5 linked regions of the Mus musculus genome follow. The protein of the gene in region 3 interacts with the protein of the main gene of each other region in a pairwise test. Links are inferred from orthologs where the notes say so. Each region holds a gene or a part of one and is shown on either strand. Other genes may lie near its edges.

The links.
Region 1: the proteins of Tnfaip1 (region 3) and Polr1c interact in binary tests that used the Homo sapiens proteins (3 or more experiments, as listed by UniProt). The link is inferred for Mus musculus from reciprocal best matches to the Homo sapiens genes TNFAIP1 and POLR1C.
Region 2: the proteins of Tnfaip1 (region 3) and Zmynd19 interact in binary tests that used the Homo sapiens proteins (3 or more experiments, as listed by UniProt). The two-hybrid records come from large-scale screens. The link is inferred for Mus musculus from reciprocal best matches to the Homo sapiens genes TNFAIP1 and ZMYND19.
Region 4: the proteins of Tnfaip1 (region 3) and Armc7 interact in binary tests that used the Homo sapiens proteins (3 or more experiments, as listed by UniProt). The link is inferred for Mus musculus from reciprocal best matches to the Homo sapiens genes TNFAIP1 and ARMC7.
Region 5: the proteins of Tnfaip1 (region 3) and Exosc5 interact in binary tests that used the Homo sapiens proteins (3 or more experiments, as listed by UniProt). The two-hybrid records come from large-scale screens. The link is inferred for Mus musculus from reciprocal best matches to the Homo sapiens genes TNFAIP1 and EXOSC5.

What each region holds. Positions count from the first base shown.
Region 1 is NC_000083.6:46,245,240-46,249,249, forward strand, and holds the start of Polr1c (DNA-directed RNA polymerases I and III subunit RPAC1), read right to left. Parts: upstream 2,807-4,010; 5' UTR 2,725-2,806; coding exon 2,656-2,724; intron 2,562-2,655; coding exon 2,490-2,561; intron 976-2,489; coding exon 868-975; intron 510-867; coding exon 377-509; intron 1-376. Other genes in the region: protein YIPF3, read left to right, coding at 3,009-3,089, 3,602-3,799, 3,940-4,010. UniProt on the Homo sapiens protein: DNA-dependent RNA polymerase catalyzes the transcription of DNA into RNA using the four ribonucleoside triphosphates as substrates.
Region 2 is NC_000068.7:24,952,777-24,956,276, forward strand, and holds part of Zmynd19 (zinc finger MYND domain-containing protein 19), read left to right. Parts: intron 1-459; coding exon 460-600; intron 601-3,500. UniProt on the Homo sapiens protein: May be involved as a regulatory molecule in GPR24/MCH-R1 signaling.
Region 3 is NC_000077.6:78,529,749-78,533,264, reverse strand, and holds part of Tnfaip1 (BTB/POZ domain-containing adapter for CUL3-mediated RhoA degradation protein 2), read left to right. Parts: intron 1-2,917; 5' UTR 2,918-3,032; coding exon 3,033-3,237; intron 3,238-3,516. UniProt on the Homo sapiens protein: Substrate-specific adapter of a BCR (BTB-CUL3-RBX1) E3 ubiquitin-protein ligase complex involved in regulation of cytoskeleton structure.
Region 4 is NC_000077.6:115,474,388-115,478,480, forward strand, and holds the start of Armc7 (armadillo repeat-containing protein 7), read left to right. Parts: upstream 1-1,279; 5' UTR 1,280-1,549; coding exon 1,550-1,640; intron 1,641-1,734; coding exon 1,735-1,878; intron 1,879-4,093. UniProt on the Homo sapiens protein: As a component of the minor spliceosome, involved in the splicing of U12-type introns in pre-mRNAs.
Region 5 is NC_000073.6:25,657,755-25,661,962, reverse strand, and holds the start of Exosc5 (exosome complex component RRP46), read right to left. Parts: upstream 2,811-4,208; 5' UTR 2,728-2,810; coding exon 2,580-2,727; intron 1-2,579. Other genes in the region: Bckdha (2-oxoisovalerate dehydrogenase subunit alpha, mitochondrial), read left to right, coding at 3,223-3,330. UniProt on the Homo sapiens protein: Non-catalytic component of the RNA exosome complex which has 3'->5' exoribonuclease activity and participates in a multitude of cellular RNA processing and degradation events.

The sequences.
Region 1 (4,010 bases), on a different chromosome or scaffold from region 3:
CCTTGAACTCAGGACACATCTGCCTGCCTCTGCCAGTGCTTGGAGTAAAGCTGTCCACCACCGTGCCTGGCCATATCAACTCTAATACCAGGCTGACAAGAAGGCTCACAGAGTGAGGGTGCATGCTTGCTCCAACCTGAAGACCCAAGTTCAATCCCCAGGAAGAATGTAAAGGTGGAGAGAGCCTGAGTGCTGCTAGCGCTGTGTTCCGAGGGTGTACACAGTGAGACTAGAGGTGGGGTGGGGACAGCTGTTCTCCCAGGCGAAGGCAGATGTACAAGATGCCAACTAAAGCCCCAGCAGTAGGCCTGGGACCTGAGCCCATGCATTCCAGGTCAGTTCTGCCTAACTCATAATCCCAAGCTCTCAGCCTCACCTTGGTTCCGATATTCAAAGAGACGAGGATCAGCGAGGATGGGGATGAGCCCCAGGCGGTGAGCAAGGATCTCATCCTGGACTATGGACGTGTTGTTATACACCAAGACCTTCTCCACGGCCATTGTCGGCACCTGCCCAAGGAGGCAAAGCAGACAACTGACCTCCACCCATCCCCCTGCCTGGAAAAGGAAGAGGCAGCACTTTTTCATTTTGCCCTTCAGATTCTTTTTTTTTTTTTTGGTTTTTTGAGACAGGGTTTCTCTGTATAGCCCTGGCTGGCCTGGAACTCAGAGATCCACCTGCCTCTGCCTCCCGAGTGCTGGGGTGCTGGGACTAAAGGCGTGTGGCTCAGATTCTTGATACAATGTTTACTATGTAGCCCAGACTGTCATAGGTGTGAACCACCCTACCTGCCCCAGAGGGATGGCTTTGAGAAAAGCGTCTACAAATTGATACAATTTCTACCCTCCAGCCCACGTCCTCTAATACCTCAGCTAACAGGATTCTCCGGAAAGCATTGGCGATGGCAGCATCAATCCCCACCATGTCGAACTCCAGCGTGTCTTCATCCATTTGCACCACGTCCACACGGAAATTCTAGAAGGAGGGAAGCTCCTGCATGACTCCTGCCTGGCTCCTACCCTGCACTATCCCCTCACCCTAAAGTCATGGTGCTCAGTAGACATTTTGTCTCCAGTCCTGTTCTTGGGGGCAAGGCTGTGTGTTTCTTGTTTTTTAGGTTTTTCCAAGGCCAGGTTTCTCCATGTAGTCCTGGCTGTCCTGGAACTCTGTAGACCAGGCTGGCCTCAAACTCAAAAGATCCACCTACCTCTGCCTACCAAGTACTGGGATTAAAGGTGTGCGCCACTATGCCCAATCTTCCCAGATTTTCCACAAACCACCCAGAGAAGTTACTATACAAAAAGCAGAACTTCCCACACTACTTAGACCGTTTGATACTTGCATGTCTGTTGTCGTTATTTTTTAATACCTACTTTTCTCAACTACATTCCCTTGGATTTTGAACACCAATTTCCTTATCTGCTCTTCTTTCTAAATTTCCCCTTCCACCCACACAGTAAACGTTCCTGTCTCCTAGGTTCTAATCCCCTGGCTGACCTCCACCATGCTCCTGGCTCAAGCAAGCACATAGACTTCACAAGCAGGCACCTGAGTGTACCCTCATTCTTGTTCTCCTGCTTGGCAAACGACACAGCCAGCAACAGTTCCCCAGTGCCACTGGAGAAATGGCTCAGCTATTAAGAGCACTTAACTGCCCTTGCAGAAGAACTGGGTTTGGTTCCCAGCACCTGGTGGGACCTAACATTCTCCTCACACTGCAGGGATCACTAACACACAGTGGTGCACAAATACACATGCAGGCAAACACGCATATCAAGAAAGTTTTAGGGTCCTCAAGTTACAAAGTCCTTTCTCTCACACACTGCCTCCCCAGAGCACTGGTGCAAATCGTCTAGTTCTCCCTGCCTTACTCCGTTAGTACTGTCTGGAGTTCATCTATGCCCCCAATTTCAGCCTGCATACACTAGCTGGCAGATTCACCAGAATTCATTCCCTCCTGGCTATCAAGATTGCAAAATGTTATCAGTCTACTCAAAAATTCTAAATTGGGCGTGGTGGCTCATGCCTTTAATCCCAGTGCATGGGAGGCAGAGACAGAAGCAGGTAGATGGCTGAGTTCAAGTCCAGCCTGGACTATAGAGAGAGTGCCAGGGCTAAACAGAAACAGTTTCAAAGTGAATTTTAAAAAAATCATATATAATGAAGCTCCAATCAGGCCTTCACTACTCAACTTTTATTCATAGTTCAAAGCTTAATTCAAATGCCATTCCCTTCACTGACCTTTAACTACGTCCCTTCAGTTAGCTGGATTCAGTGCATCAATGATTCCTGACCATATCCCAGCCATCTTCACCGCTATCTTACTATTCTGGAATAACTTGTCTGTGTGGTCCATTATCCCACCGAGAGCAACCACCGTGTCTGACCCGTCCATGGAGCTCAAGCGTGTTGTATGGAAACAGCGACCCCCACCCCAACCTGCGAGGTCTGGCCCCTCGGGCCGACTGGGCACCTTCAGCTCTACCCACCTTCTCGAAGCGGTTCTGGTCCCAGGCATCATCATAACCGGCGTAGTTACCGGGAAAGTCCGTGGTGTGGACCTAGAGCCAACAGAAAGGGCAGTGTGGCCAGCCTTCACACCAGGCCTCTACTTCCCCGTGCCGCCCTCATCCTTCCCGCGCCCCGATCTCTTACATTGCGAACCCCAAACTCTCCGAGAACCACGCGAGTCCGCATCTCCTCCACCGCCTGAGCCGCCGCCATCTTCCGCCACTCGCTGTAAAAGGAGGCGAGTCCGCGCCTGCGTCTCCGCAGCAACGCTCGGGCTCCCGCAATCTTGAATGTCGCGAGATCTTGCCCCGCCTCTGTCCACGTCCTTCACTTCCGGACGTCAAGTGGGGCCAAACATCCGGGTTTCTCCCTTCGGCGTCCCGGCGGATCCCCACCTTGCCCGGGCGGTCGCCCCTCTGAACCTCTCCCTCCCTCGGACCCGGGTCGCACGCTCTTCCCACGCGCGCGTGCTCCAGCGACGGGAAGCCTCGAGGGACATGGCGACTCCGGCGGCGCCGGCCAGCGGCGTCCGAAATGGTGCTGGCCCGGAATGGGGAGGCTTCGAAGAAAACATCCAGGTATGGAGCGCGCCTGCTGCCAGCAGCCCCGGGCTGGCGGCGTCCGGACGGTGGCTGCTGTTCTCTCTCGCGGGGCCTAGAGGTCGGCTCCGCTGAAACGCAGCCTGTCCCCTTTGAGTCTTCCCGGGGAAGGGTGTAGCTCTTGTGCTGGCGTGAAAGGGACAAACTAGGGCTCCCGCGGGCCTCGGCTCTCTGTGGGGGCTGGAGGCTAGGATCCACTGGCACCCCCTAAAAATAGGCTTGTTTGAGAATTGGGAATGGCAGATGGGCTCTTTTGCAACTCTTTGGAGCTTTGAGGTGGAAAGTAGGAAAACAACGTGGATTGAAAATAAATAGTAGGGTTTCCAGGACCACAAAAGTGACGCGACCAAGAGTTGCCACCACTGAAAGAGTGGCAGTTCCAAGCCATGTCCTCGGCAGTGGAAGATCAAAGCCTCAAGTTGTCAGCTGAGCGGAGAACGGGGAGGATGCAATGGAAGGGCCCCTCACTCTCCGAGCCGTTGTCTTCACAGGGTGGGGGTTCGGCTGTGATTGATATGGAGAACATGGACGATACCTCAGGCTCCAGCTTCGAGGACATGGGTGAGCTGCACCAGCGCCTGCGGGAGGAAGAAGTAGATGCTGATGCAGCTGCTGCAGAAGAAGAGGATGGGGAGTTTCTTGGCATGAAAGGCTTTAAAGGACAACTGAGCCGGCAGGTAGCAGATCAGGTAAGCCAATGGGGAAAAAAAAAAGGACCTATGCATGTCCTAAATTGATCGAGGTTTTCCACTTAGACCCACACGTAAATCTCGCCGAGACTGAATAACAATCTAGAGCCAAGAGTCTCATCATACCCATTTCCCTTCAGATGTGGCAGGCAGGGAAGAGACAGGCTTCCAGGGCCTTCAGCTTGTATGCCAACATTGACATCCTCAGACC
Region 2 (3,500 bases), on a different chromosome or scaffold from region 3:
TTCTACCCAAAGTAGTCAGACTAACGTTATCTTCTTTAAGTCTGGGAGTTTGTGAGCTTTGCCACTAACCCAAAGGAGTGACTAATGTACATATCACTTTAAACAACTAGTGGGATTTTGATGAGATGAGACCCATGGATCCTTCTGGTGAGTCATAGGTTACATCCTTAGAAACGGGGTCATTGATCATAGATGGGTAAGGTGGTTTGAAATGTTGGTATCCAAATGGGAAACTTAACTCTAGATAATTTTGTTGGTTTGAGGGTTCTCTCTATTGTCCTCTGAGGCAAGTTCCCTGTCTGTGTGGGCCATGATGATGTGCTTGGCTTCCTCCTGGTATGCCACTTCAGAATATGGGCCCAGTTCTGACCAGATAACTGGTATTCCTGTGTGGCTGGGTATTGATGCTTGAATAGAGGTGCTTGAGGCCTCACCCTCAAGAAAAATGTCTTTCCCTAGGGAACGACACAGGGGAGGTGTGGCTCCCGGGTTTCAGGTGGTACATCTCAATGCTGTGACTGTGGACAATCGCCTGGACAACCTGCAGCTGGTACCATGGGGCTGGCGACCCAAAGCTGAAGAGACCTCCAGCAAACAAAGGTGGGTCTTCTCTGGTCAGCACCTGATACTTGAAGGGCTGTCCCATGTTTCTGTGTTCCTGTTTTGTGCTTTTACTATGAGTGCTTCGGTACCTTGATACCCAACCCACCACTGGCCATGTGTGAGAATTCTTCTTCATGGGAAAGGGAAGAATCTTTCATTTATGTAGGTAGCCCTTGCTGTTTAGGACTTGCTATGAATACCAGACTTTGAAATCAGCAGTCCTCCTCCTGCCTCCCCTGTGCTAGGATTAAAGATGCATATATACCTCCATGCTTAGCCAGAAGGATTTTTATGATTAATTTTTGGGATTGACCTTGTAGTAATTGACTCTAAGAATATTTTAGCTGATGTGATGGAATGAGACCATGCCCCAGGACCACACTGAGACAGGGTGGGTCTCCTTTGGTGAATAGCTTTCCCTGAGCAGAGGAAGTAGTAGGACAGTGTAGTTTAGGGATGTGACCTCTTGGCTTCTCAGTTCCCTGTGGTCCTGAAAACAGCATTGTACAAGCTTTTCTATCCTGGAGGCCATGTTCCTACTAACCCTCAAACTCACCACAGTGAATTTCAGGAAGCCCTGGAGAGGTGCTGGAGGGACCAGCAGGAAATGATTAGGGAAATTTGACCTCATAGTCCCAAGCCACACAGGTATCATTGTTCTGCTCATAGGCGTCCCCTGAGGGCGCCTGGAAGTATCTGTACAAATAGCTTTTTTTTTTTTTTTTTTTTTTTTTTATTTTGGTTTTTCGAGACAGGGTTTCTCTGTGTAGCCTTGGCTGTCCAGGAACTCACTCTGTAGACCACGCTGGCCTTGAACTCAGAAATCCACCTGCCTCTGCCTCCCAAGTGCTAGGATTAACAGCATGCACCACCACTGCCTGGCTATATACAAGTTCTTTGTTTGCTTGTTTGGTTTTTTTGAGACAGGGTTTTTCTGTATAGCCCTGGCTGTCCTGGAACTCACTCTGTAGACTACGCTGGCCTCGAACTCAGAAATCCACCTGCCTCTGCCTCCCGAGTGCTGGGATTAAAGGCGTGCGCCACCACGCCCAGCTCAGTCGGTGCTCTTAACCACTGAGCCATCTCGCCAGCCCTGTATACAAGTTCTTAAGTCTTTTTTTTTTTTTTTCCTGAGACAGGGTTTTTCTGTATAGCCCTGGCTGTACTCACTTTGTAGACCAGGCTGGCCTCAAACTCAGAAATCCGTCTGCCTCTGCCTTTCGAGCGCTGGGATTAAAGGTGTGCGCCACCACGCCCGTCTAGTTCTTAAGTCTTTAAGCAACCTTCTTTGGCATTTACCACCTCAACGGATACTAATAGTATTGACAAGGTTGTCATTACAGACAGTGGGTAGATGTTTGTAGTGAATGTCTTCAGGTGATGCTAGTGCCCCATGTACTGTAGGGAGGAGATGTGCGAGTATGTGTCTGTACTTGATAGTGCTGGTCTCCAGGTCTTTAGAAGACAGGTGCCAAGCTGCTTTACTCTGGCAGAATGTGAAGGCAGCCCTAGGAGGGTCTCAGACCTCTCATCTCCTTCCTTTGTTGTCTACCTGATGTCAGAGGTTTTGAGTCTTCAGTTCTGTTTTCACCACTCCTGTCTGTCCATCCTTTCTTCCATCTTTCTTTTGAGATTTGTATATCTTGGGCTGACCTCAACTTGCTGTGTAGCTGAGAAACTGAGACTGATGTTGCCCTTCCTCCTGTGAGGCAGACATCCTATTCAGTAGGGTCCTGTGCTGAATGCTCTATTTAGTCTCCTGAACACACCTTATGATCATGATAGGACCACAGTTAAAGCCTATTCAGAAAGGGGCAGTTACAGTTCTAGGGGTAGAGGGCTGAGGTGTTTGGTCAGGTGGCCTGTTGGACCTTTTCTCAGCCAGTTTTCAGAGATAAGTTTGGTGGAGGCTGTGCCCTTCAGGTAGGTAGTAGTACATACCTTTTACTAGCAGAGGCAGGACCAGATTGGACCAGGATCCATGAGCATGTCTGGTATGCCAATGTAAGGGGAAGTAGAAGATGGGGATAATGAATGTGTGTGTTGGGAGGGAAGTGCTTGGTACTGTGGGCATTTGTGTCAGAGGAGGATGGCCAGTACTTGTGAGGGAGAGTGCGTTATTCATAAGGCTCAATTAAGCAGCTCCTGTGGAGAAATCAGCTATGCCTCTCCAAAGTCCCACACAGTCTGCTGCGCTCACCTGTGAGCAACCAGCAGTCAGTTTAGGGCTGTCCTAGTTAGGTTTCTGTTAGTATGATAAAATACCATGACCAAAAGCAATGTCACAATCTATTGTTGAGAGAATTAAGAGCAGAAATTCAAGCAGGAGTCTGGAAGCAGGAACTAAACCAGAGACCACTTGGGAGCACTGTTTATTGGTGTTCTCTCCATTGCTTGCTCAGTTTGCTTTCTTACACAATCCAGACCAACTTGTCTTAAGAGTGGTACTGCCCACAATGATTTGGTCCCTCCTATATTAATCCAGAAAATGCTCCACAGACATACACACAAGCCAGTCCGATGGGGTTAATTTCTCAGTTGATTTTTTTTTTTTTTTTTGTATTGTTTTGTTTTGTTTTTTTTCGAGACAGAGTTTCTCTGTGTAGCCCTGGCTGTCCTGGAACTCACTTTGTAGACCAGGCTGGCCTTGAACTCAGAAGTCCACCTGCTTCTGCCTCCCAAGTGCTGGGAGGAAAGGTGTGTGCCACCACCACCTGGCTTCTTTCAACATTTTGTTTTTAAGAATTTATTTATGAGCCAGGCATGGAGAGATGGCTCAGTGGTTAAGAGCACTGACTGCTCATCTTAAAAAAAAAAAAGGTTTTATTTATTTATATTATATATATATATGTGTGTGTGTGTGTCAGTACACTGTTGCTGTCTTCAGACACACCAAA
Region 3 (3,516 bases):
GGTTTTTCAGGCAGAGCCACTTGTACTCTTGGTAGCTGAGATACCTGGTCTGCCTGCCTCCATCATCCTATGCTTGGAGTATAGGCATGGGCCATCACATGTAGTTTATATGCTGCTGGGAATCAAACCCAGAGCCTCATGCATGCTAGACAAGCATTCTGCCAATTAAGGTACAGCTTAGTCTTCTTCCTTTTTTTTAACCTTGTGATGGCGTCTCTGTAGTCCAGACTGCCTCAGACTTCCAAGTGCTGGATTATAGATGTGAGCCACCATCCTTGGCCTGGTTAGTGGTAGTTTGGATAAGCCAAAAGATTACAGACAGGAGCAGTGGCACTGTCATTTAATCACGGCACTCAGGAGGCAGAGGCAGGTGGATCACTGAGTTTGAGATCAGCTTAGTCTATATATCAAGGTCTAGAACATCCAATGCAACATCATAGACATCTCAAAAAAATGCCATCATCATCCAATTATCCCTTCATGTCTGTGTGGCATTGACTCTAGGTTGTTTTCTTTTTTAAAGATAGATTTATTTATTTATTTATTATATGTAAGTACACTGTAGCTGTCAGACGCTCCAGAAGAGGGCATCCAATCTCATTACAGTTGGTTGTGAGCCACCATGTGGTTGCTGGGATTTGAACTCAGGACCTTCGGAAGAGCAGTCAATGCTCTTAACCTCTGAGCCATCTCTCCAGCCCCAACTCTAGGTTTTTTGCAAATACCAAAATCTGAGAATGCTCAAGTTCTTTATGACATTAAATGCTGTATATTTACATATAATCTATACACACCCTCCTGAATTCCTTCTATTATCTCTGGCTTATTTAATAATACTAATACTGTAAATGTATGAAGTGTGATATAAATAATTTTTATACTGTGCTGTTTAGGGGTGGCAACCACGGTAAGTCTCTATACTTTCAGTGAAAATTCAATCTTTTGTTCATTTTTGATAGAGATCTGTATAGTCTTAACTGTCCAGGAACTCCCTCTGTAGACCAGGCTGGCCTCAACTCGAGAGATTTACCTGCTCTGTCTCCCAAGTGCTAGGATTACACTACCTCACCCAGCTTTTATTTATTTATTTATTGTATTTTTTTGAGACAGGGTCTCACTATGTAACTGGCTGTCTTGGAATTCCCTCTGTAGATGAGGCTGGCCTAGAACTCACAGAGTTCTGCCTGCCTCTGCCTCCCTGGTGCTGGATCTAAAGGTGTGCACCACCATGCCCAGCTAGGACTTAATGTTTTTTTTTACATTCAAACTTCTTTCCATCTACAGGTTTAGAATTAAGAATGTAAATAGCAGCAATAAAAACAGAATAAGAGCCGGGCAGTGGTGGAGCACGCCTTTAATCCCAGAACTTGGGAGGCAGAGGCAGGCGGATTTCTGAGTTCGAGGCCAGCCTGGTCTACAAAGTGAGTTCCAGGACAGCCAGGGCCACACAGAGAACCTGTATCTTGAAAAACCAAAAAAGAAAAATAACTGAAAGCAAACGAGGAACGAGCACCAGCTTTTCCTTTAGTCATTTCTCGGGTCTCTGAACTGTTAGTGTTTTCCTTTCAGTTTTGAGCTTACTCATTTTTAGGGTCATTGTGTCTGTTCCCCCCATTCTTTTTTTCGAGACAGGGTTTTTCTGTGTAGCCCTGGCTGTCCTGGAACTCACTCTGTAGACCAGGCTGGCCTCGAACTCAGAAATCCACCTGCCTCTGCCTCCCGAGTGCTGGGACTAAAGGCGTGCGCCACCACGCCCGGCTCCCCCCATTCTTGATGGGAAGGAAGAAAAAGGGCTCTTGGGGGAAAGCAGCACAACAGCCCTGTCTGCTGTGCCTTGAGAAAGGTGACAGTTACAGGAACCTGGGGCAGGGCTGGGGCTGAGAAGGGGGCAGCTCAGGTAACTCCTGCCAAGCTCCCTGGCCGGCTGCCCCTACAGCGGCTCTCCCCGTGCTCTTAGAACCACACTCACTTTCCTTCCTGGATCCTGGCTTCCTTTGACTAATGATAACCTGAATCCTGGAGGGGGCTATTCCTGAGACAGGAAGTGTATCCTGTCCCCCTGGCTCCTGGGAAAATCCGAGGCTGGCTAGATTCCCAGTTGGTTAGTCTGGACGCCTGGAATCCTGGGAATCTTGGAAAAACATTTTCTGGAGCCATTCTGGTAGATCCCAGGGAGATCTGCTCATCCGACCCTTAGCTAGTTTGAAGGGTTTTTCCCTGCAGCCGGAAGCAGAGCTGATCCTAGAGGAGCTGGTGAGATGCCCACACCACAGGGAGACTGTGATCCCAGACCTGGCTCCTGGTACCGTGAGAACAGCGTGCGGGGCATTCTTCCTGTTGCCCACTGTCCGAGTTTGCATTCTACTGGTGTGATAAAACACTGTGACCAAAAGCAACTTGGGGAGGAAAGAGTTTACTCGGCTTAGACTTCCCAGGTCACAGTTCTTCCTTAAGGGAAATGGGGAAAGGAACCTGGCGACAGGAACCCGGGGGTAGGGACTGAAGCCGAGGCCACAGAGGGGTACTGCTTACTGGCTTGCCGGCGTGACTTGTTATATTTTTGGTTGTGAGCCTATCCTTTAAGGGCTGAGCCATCTCTCCGGCCCCTAGAATGCCTTCGTATGCCACCCAGAACTACCTTCCCCGGGATGGTTCCCCCCAATCTCTGCCCCTCATCAATTATTAATCAAGAGAATGCTCCCAGAGACTTGCTTCCAGGCCAGTATGATAGAGGCATTTTCTCAAGCGAGGGTCTCCTCCCAGGTGATGTTAGCTTGTGTCAAGTTGACAAGAATCTAACTCGTACAGTGAGGAAGGGCTTCTCTACAAAGTAAACTGTGTCAGAGTTCCCTCTGCTGTCCCTCCTCCCTGTGACCTCTCTGCTGACTTTAGTGTTCTCTCTACCTCTTGCTTACAGGCACTGAGAGTATGAGGCCCTGGCCTCTGAGGGCCACTCACTCGTGATCACTTCCACCACGGCAGAACCTTCTAAGCCTACCTCCTGCCGTGTGGTGATCTACCTGCAGCGGGAGATGTCAGGGGACACCTGTCTGTGTCCAGCCTCGGGGGCCAAGCCCAAGATCAGTGGCTTCAAGGGAGGCGGGCTGGGCAACAAGTACGTGCAGCTCAATGTGGGAGGCTCCCTGTACTACACCACAGTGCGGGCCCTCACCCGGCACGACACCATGCTCAAGGCCATGTTCAGTGGGCGAATGGAGGTGCTGACTGACAAAGAAGGTGAGCCATTGCATGCGGGCATGCTGGGTAAGGGAGAGGAGGAAGGGAGCATCTTGAGCTGACTCCAAGGCTGGGCTTGACCCAATAGATCTAGAATATATATCTTTTCCTCCCCCATACAAGTTCTAACAGAGCCTCAGAATTCCTTGAGATTGCACATAGAAAACTGTATGCTTGTGTATCATACTTAGGCTGGGTGTGGTTACATCTGTAACCCTAGCACTTAGAGGTGGGGACAGGAGGAGCAGAAATTTGAGGCCAGTGTCCACTACATAATGA
Region 4 (4,093 bases), about 37 Mb from region 3:
TCTTCCAATTGAAGTCTGCCTCTCTGTCTAATGTCCCCTACTGCTTTCCGGATCGCAACTCAGAACTGAGCTTGACCCCACCCCCACCCCCCAAGGAAGTTTCTACTCTGAAGGGCAAATGCCAGGGACCTATTTTTCATTCTAACAGAAAACAGAGTTGGGGCTGGCTAACAGGCCCACGTCCAGGAAAAATAGAATCTGTGATCCTCCAGCTAGGAAATTTTCATCACACTTGCCCGTTGGTAATAATGGCATTAATCTGAGGGCAATAAGCAACGAAGAAATGAGGGTGCAAATGTAGTTTAGTCACGTACATCAAACCTTCACTTCCATCTCCAGCCCCACCCATGCCCAGGTGTGCTGTAATCCCAGTTCTTTGGAGCCTGGGGCTTGGAGACAAGATGGAAGCAAAGTCTACTCTTTTGTAGCCAGGATCTGCTTTGGACCATCCCTGGAAAATTTTGAGGGGAGTCTGCAAAGTATTTGTTCTGGAATCTCAAAGGCTCCAGGTCCCCAGGTCTTTGATGTTCTGACTAGTCAGACGCTTGGCCATCTTGAGCTGAGATGTAAGAAGTCTGCCTAGCCTGCTTCTTATAAAACCTAAAGGGCACAGAGTTCTCACGGAGCAACCTTGGTTCTCAAGCATCCAAACTAAGACTAAAACTCTTGCTCTTGGTTGATGTTGGGCATGGATTGATCACTGGAACTTAAACCCCAGAGGTGGGGGCCAGGGAAAGGTGAAGTACACAAACCATTCTGCTGTGATTCAGGTCCCTGGTACCAAACATAGTACATGACCCCTGACCCTTGCCCTAAAAACCCTTACTGCCTCCATCCTCCACCTCCACCACAGCACGGCAAAGCTGGGCCCCTCCCTGACGCTCCTTGTGACCCTAAGATTGTGTTTGGGGTTTGATGGATGTTCTGTTTTGTTACCAGGGTCTTGCCATGTAGCTCTGGATTGCCTTGTAGACTAAACCGTCCTTAAACTCCGTGTTCTGGGATTAAACTACTATCATGTCTAGATGGCCTGAAGATCCGTCTGCCCGGCTGTCAATCCATCCACCATTCTCTCTCTCCTTTTCTCCTCTTTCCCTCCCCTCTCCCTTCCTCTCTCCTTCGACGCATCCCCGCTGCGGCGGCTGCGCAGTGGAGGGTTAAAGCCTCCAGCTCTAGAAATCCGGAGGGAAGCCCAGGAGGCGCCCAGTAACCACGCCCAATCCCGTCCTGGTCCCGCTCACTCCGTTTCCTGGGGCGGGGCTAGAGAGACTTCCGCCCTGAACCAGGAAGCGGTGCAGGGAGTGTGGTAAGGGGGCGTGCCTGCCTTCAGTTCCGAAAAGCCACAGCGTCTCGCCCGGGTTGAATTTTGGTTTTCAGATCCGGCTCAGACAGGATCCTGAGACCCCTGGCCACCCCCACAGCTCATCCCCAGCTGCAGACGCGGATCTCAGGACAAGACTGGGTTTGCTGCCGCTCTGTCGCCGCCGGGACAGGTCAGGATCCAGGCCTTGTGGCCTCTACCGGAGCTCCCAACTCCGCCGCCCCAGCCATGGCACAGAAACCCAAGATAGACCCCCACGTCGGGCGGCTAGGCTACTTGCAGGCGCTGGTCACAGAGTTCCAGGAAACCGAGAGCCAAGGTAAGAGGTGTAGCGTGGGCACGAGGGACCCAGGAGGGTTCTGACGGCAGCCGCCGCCGCACAGGTCCGACCCCAGGGCTGCTTCCCATTGCAGATGCCAAGGAGCAAGTCCTCGCCAACCTCGCCAACTTCGCTTATGACCCGGGCAACTACCAGTACCTACGGCAACTACAAGTCCTGGACTTATTCCTTGATTCTCTGTCGGAAGAGAATGAAACCCTAATCAAGTTTGCTATTGGTAAGAGTTAGGCTGCCCCCAACCCCCGTGCCCGCGCGCCTCCCCCCAAGTTATAGACTAGAGCGACTTGAGAGTCAGGCATGCCACTCGCCTATAAAACTAGCATTACGGGAGGCTGAAGCAGGAGGATGGTTGCGACTTGGGGGCCAGCCTGGGATTCAGAGTAAGACACTGTCACTAAACAAACTAGTGTTTGGGATGGGATCTCATCTAGGGCAGAGCTGCCGTGTGTGGACCACCTACCTTCTCCTCCTCCACACATTATCGGGGTCACAGCTCATTCCAAACAAGTCGTGTCTTTCTTCCTCTTAGAAAAGAGATAATAAGTGAGGAAATGGGGTGAAACCTCTTTGAAAGAAGTTTAGTTTTTTGTTTGTTTGTTTGCTTGATTTTGATTTTTTTGAGACAGGATTTCTCTGTGTAGCCCTGGCTATTCTGGAACTCACTCTGTAGACCAGGCTGGCCTTGAACTCAGAAATCTGCCTGCCTCTCTGCCTCCCAAATGCTGGGATTAAAGGTGTGCGCCACCACTGCCCGGCTGGAGCTTGCCCTTGTATTGTTTACTGTCAAGAGGTGCAAAGGTAGCTTAGAACTCCTATAGTTGGGTTATTGTAAGGCCGTTTGAATTATTCAAGGTAGACTCTTTTACATTTGCTGTGTAGGTGTGTGTTTGCATGTGTGTGTGGATGAGTGTGAGTATGCATGTGCACCAGGCTGTATGCATGAAATTTGTCAAGAGTCAGTTCTCCCCGAGTACAGTGGTACATGCCTTTCATCCCCAGTACTGGGAAGACAGAGGTAGGTAGATCTTTCCGAGTTCCAGGCCAGCCTAGCGTGAGTACTGAGTTCTGGACCATCTAGGGCTATGTGGTAAGATGTCGTCTCTAAAAACTAAGGTAGTCGTTGTTGTTGTGTTCTCCTCTTCCAGTTGCTAAGGGAAGATCTCTGTGCCTTCAGAGTAGGGCAGTGCACTCCATAGCTGGGCCGTGAGCCTCCAGCTAATGGGGAGAGAGTGCTGGGGTTCCAGATGCTCGACACTGCATCTGGTTTTCTTATGTAGGTCCCTGGAACCGAATTCAGGTCATCAGAATTGTGTGGCAAGCTCTTTTACCTACTAAGCCATCTCCTCTGCCCCATGATAGATAGTCATTATTGGGCACCCTATAAGGAAGGTACTGGCCCAGGTTCTGAGGAGATGGTGAACAGGTTGGGGATTGTATTCTGGAAGGGGAGCTAGGTGGCGAATAAAACAAGCAAAGTAGAGATAAACAGGAACTCAGATGGAGCCATAGGAGGTGTGTCACGCTACTTACGCTACTTCCATTTCAGCCATCTTGGATATGCGATGTAGACAAAGCAGCTAAGCAGGAAGCTGTTAGAGGGAAGCTGATGTGTTAGAGGGAAGCTGATGTGTTAGAGGGAGGCCGATGTGTTAGAGGGAAGCTGATGTGTTAGAGGGGAAGCTGATGTGTTAGAGGGAGGCCGATGTGTTAGAGGGAGGCCGATGTGTTAGAGGGAAGCCGATGTGTTAGAGGGAAGCTGATGTGTTAGAGGGGAAGCTGATGTGTTAGAGGGAGGCCGATGTGTTAGAGGGAGGCCGATGTGTTAGAGGGAAGCTGATGTGTTAGAGGGGAAGCTGATGTGTTAGAGGGAGGCCGATGTGTTAGAGGGGAAGCTGATGTGTTAGAGGGAAGCTGATGTGTTAGAGGGAGGCTGATGTGTTAGAGGGAGGCCGATGTGTTAGAGGGGAAGCTGATGTGTTAGAGGGGAAGCTGATGTGTTAGAGGGAGGCCGATGTGTTAGAGGGAGGCCGATGTGTTAGAGGGAGGCCGATGTGTTAGAGGGGAGGCTGATGTGTTAGAGGGGAAGCTGATGTGTTAGAGGGAGGCTGATGTGTTAGAGGGAGGCTGATGTGTTAGAGGGGAAGCTGAAGTGTTAGAGGGAGGCCGATGTGTTAGAGGGAGGCCGATGTGTTAGAGGGGAAGCTGATGTGTTAGAGGGAAGCTGATGTGTTAGAGGGGAAGCTGATGTGTTAGAGGGAAGCTGATGTGTTAGAGGGAGGCCGATGTGTTAGAGGGGAAGCTGATGTGTTAGAGGGAAGCTGATGTGTTAGAGGGGAAGCTGATGTGTTAGAGGGAAGCTGATGTGTTAGAGGGAGGCTGATGTGTTAGAGGGAGGCCGATGTGTTAGGGATATTTTAAGTGAAGAGGCGGAT
Region 5 (4,208 bases), on a different chromosome or scaffold from region 3:
AATCAGGTTCTATATGGTCAAAGCTGGCCCTGACCATGCTATCTATGTAGCTAAGGGAGCAGGGCACGAACTGTTGTTCCTCTGGCCTCTACCAGCCCTCCCTCCCCCCGTACTGGGATTAGGGGTTTTGTACCATCAGGTGTTTTTGGTTTGTTTGTTTGTTTTTGCCTTTAAGGTAAGCTACTGTGCCGGCTAGTTGCTTCTTTTGCTTTGCATTTTGTCAACTTAGCCATACCTGGAAAGAGGAAACTCAAATGAGGAATTGCCTCCATCAGACTGGCCTGCAGGCAGGTCTGTGGGGGCATTTTCTTTTTCTTGAGACAGGGTCTTGCTGCATGATCCTGTAGGGCATTTTAGTGATCAACAACTGATATAGAAGGGCCCCCACTCACTGTGGGCAGCGCCACCACTGGGCAGGTGGTCCTAGGTTATCTATGAAAGCAGGCTGAACAAGCCATGAAAAGCCAGGTTCTGCCACGTTGATTCTGGTTATGTCCTTGTCACAGCAAGAGACTCCTAGTGAGGACAAATGTCAAGTAATAGGGATATTGTGTCATTATCATACATACACATCATTTGCACTGCTTGCCTGCCGCAGCCACAGCCCCCTCCATCGGGTGTTCTTACAGGAGCCTTTGAGGTCAGAAGTGTCTGCAACATTCTTTTTGAAAGTCTGCCAAGTCTCCAGCTTGCACTAGGGCCCTGTGAGTTTAGGGTTTTAGAACATGGGAAGGTTCCCTCTCTATTTCTTATATCCCAAGAGATAGGGGAGGCTGATTTCAGCAATGAGCTAAGCTGAGAGCCAGCCTGGGATGAGAACACTAAACATCTGTGGGTGCTTCTCCAATGAAACCAGAGGTAACCCAATAGACTCAGGTGCTTACTAGAGCTACATTCCTGTACTGCTAGATAGACTGTGCTCTCAGCGAGCAAGGGAGTCTCTTTCTTCCCACCATCTCGATGATGTGGCTGCAGAAATTCTCTTCTTTTCCCCCTAGTATTTATTTTACTTTTTAAGTTATGTGTGTGTGTGTGTGTGTGTGTGTGTGTGTGTGTGTGTATAGTTCCCTGCAGAGGCCATAACAGGGCTTCCAATATCCTGGCTCCCCACAAGTTACAAGTGCTTGAAAGCTGCCTGAATGGGTGCTGGGAACTCAACTTTGTTCTCTGTAAGAGAAACCATTTCTCCAGCCCCGAGCTGTCTCCCCTTTTTTTTTTTCCCCAAGACAGGGTTTCCTGGCTGTCCTGGAACTCCCTCTATAGACCAGGCTGGCCTCAAACTCATAGAGACCCTGCATCTGTGTCTCAAGTGCTGGGACTAACGGTGTGTGCCACCACTGACCTGCCAGTTTTCTCCTTTCTTAAGCTCTATCAGTCGTCAGCTCTTGCCCCATCTATCTGATTCCTTCGCAGGAAAATGCCTGGAGACTTGTCTCAACTGTTTTTTTTCTCGCTCTTTCTGACCCACCACTATAAGCAATGACCTCTAGCTTATTAGCCATAAGGTGATCAGCCTTTAACATCTCAAACAAACTCACCATTGTCAACTCTGTCTCTGCCCTCTCATCTGTCTACTCTGGTAGTTTCTCACCCTCTCATGACCTCTCAAAGTTGGCTGGCCCGACTGGGATATAGGGTTGTGTGGGTCTCAGCCACAAGACTTCTCTTTTCTCCCTATTCATTTAGTCTGATGAAATGTGTATACCAAGGAAAGGCACGTTTTCTTAAATGATGGGACCGGGGAAGGGGAGATGCTTCTCAGCCCAGGATGGGAAGATCACATTTAATTTGAAGAGCACTTACTTAGATGTATCATCTGCCACAGTAATTATATTTAAACCAGTGGTGGTGATGTGTCTGTCTCAAAGGGTATTTATGCAAATAAACACCTTAGCCTCAACCGGTGATGTATGGATCTAGAAGTGTTTTTTAAGAAATCTAGTCAAAGCCAGGCGTGGTGGCGCACGCCTTTAATCCCAGCACTCGGGAGGCAGAAGCAGGCGGATTTCTGAGTTCAAGGCCAGCCTGGTCTACAAAGTGAGTTCAACAACAAAGTGAAAACAACAACAACAACAACAACAACAAAAACCCAAGAAATCTAGTCAAGGGGAGCTGGAGAGATGGCTCAGTGGTTATGAGCACTGACTGCTCTTCCAAAGGTCCTGAGTTGAATTCCCAGCAACCACATGGTGGCTCACAGCCATCTGTAACGGGATCTGATGCCCTCTTCTGGTGTGTCTGAAGACAGCTACAGTGCTCTTATATAAATAAAATAAGTCTTGAAAGAAAGATAAAAGAAAGAAAGAAATCTAGAGAAGGGTAATATCTGCCTTGGTGAAATACCTATTCTGGGATAGTCACTCTTATGAGAGTGGTCTTGCTCTCGATCTCCTCTGAGAGGGATTTACCAGGCTGGCCAACTCATTTCTTCTCGAGACGGGAGGTGGGTATACTCAACATCTAGAAATAAGTTCAAGGAGGCGGGCGTACTTGGTTACATACTACACAGTAACCGCTCTTCAAAAACCCTTCTTCGGTGAGGATGGCGCGCGCTGAGTTAAACTTGGTGAGGCTCGTACCTTGAAGAAAAGAAGCAGATCCATCCGGCCGGGACAGCAGGTTTTGCTCACAAGCAAAGTGCCGGAGACTGCAGACTGGACTTCGGGGGCTGGACTCTGTTCCGGTGTCAGTGAGTAAATTGGCGTCTGCACGCTTTGCGCCCTCCATAGCCGCTGACCACGCGCGCTGCGGCTCCCACCGTAGCTTCCGCTTAGCGGCGCGCGCAGTTCTACCGGCCGCGTACCTATTGCGCATGCGCCCGTCTAGGGCACGCCCGAGTTGGCCCTAGCACGTGGCTCAGCGTTTACTAACAATCTGGTCCCGCCCACCTCCACCTCCCAATTCTGGCATAGCCATTGGACAACAGGGAACAGGGGGAGGGACTTGGAGAGGGCCCATTTTGCTCAGGGCTCCGGGTCCTGAACCCTGAAGGTTCAAGTTAAGTTGTCCTTTTAGTTGCCTGAATTAGGAGCAACTAGAAGCAGACGACCGGAGCAATTTTAGAGACTAAAAATTGCCACCTTACTCATTTATGCGTCTTTGTCGCAAGGTGGTTAGAAGCAGATAGCGTGTTGGCCTAGCGGTGCTGCTATTTGAATAAGGCATCTGGTGGGACAGCCGTATGTCTATCCTGTGAGAAAGGAGGAGTGGTTATTAGCCAAGATGGCGATAGTGATGTCTGCGGCCAAGATCTGGAGGCCGAGCCGTGGCCTGCGCCAGGCTGCTCTTCTCCTGTTGGGACGATCTGGGGTTCGGGGCTTGGCTAGATCTGTGAGTATCTGAGCCCCACGGGGTCTTTCTTAGGGAGAAATAGAGACGTAAAAGTTATTCTTACATTGTGTGAGACACCGCGGGCTGTGAAGGAAAGAAAGAAAAGGTCCGAGAAACTTCTTGAAGAGAAATTCAAGGGAAGAATCCCTTTAGAGGAAAAGCAAGGCAGCTACTTGTGGGCCTCGATAGAAGGAGACGAGACGGGGGTTGAAAGGACAGATCAGGTTTTCATAGGGTCCTACATTGCTTAAATTCCAACTGTAAAGGGAGTTGAGCAAGAAACTGGTTTGATTCCTATGCCACCTGATCAAAAGGCAAGGCAAGGGACTTTGCCATGACTGTCCTTTACACAAGATGATTATGAAGGGAGACAAAGAGAGCTACAAGTTCAAACAGGACCCTTTGCCCACGTTATTTTTTTGAGACAGGATCTCACCCACGAGTCCGGAATGGCCTTTAGCTCACCCAGATGCTTAGACAGGCATCGAACTGGAGATAGTCCTGTCCCAGCCTCCCAAGTACTGGCATTACAGATGTAAGCTACGGTGCTTGGCTGCCCACTTTTCTTGAAAACACTGGAGAAAACTCGGAATTCCCTTTTGATCCATTGTTGATAAGGGCAGGATAACACTTCCAAAATCTGTTGCGGTCTGGCAATGTACCACCACAGTGTAGAATGCTTGCCTAGCACGCGCCACGTCCAGAGTTTGGCTCCTAGCCCTGTGTGTTTGTTTATCTGGATATGGCGACACATGTCTGTAATTTCAGCGCTTGGGAAGTAGGAGAGGAGGCATTTGAGGCCAGGTTGAGTTACGTGAGACCCTATCTCAAAAAAAAAAAAAAAAGATTTTTAAAAATGGTTTACTTATTTTTATTTC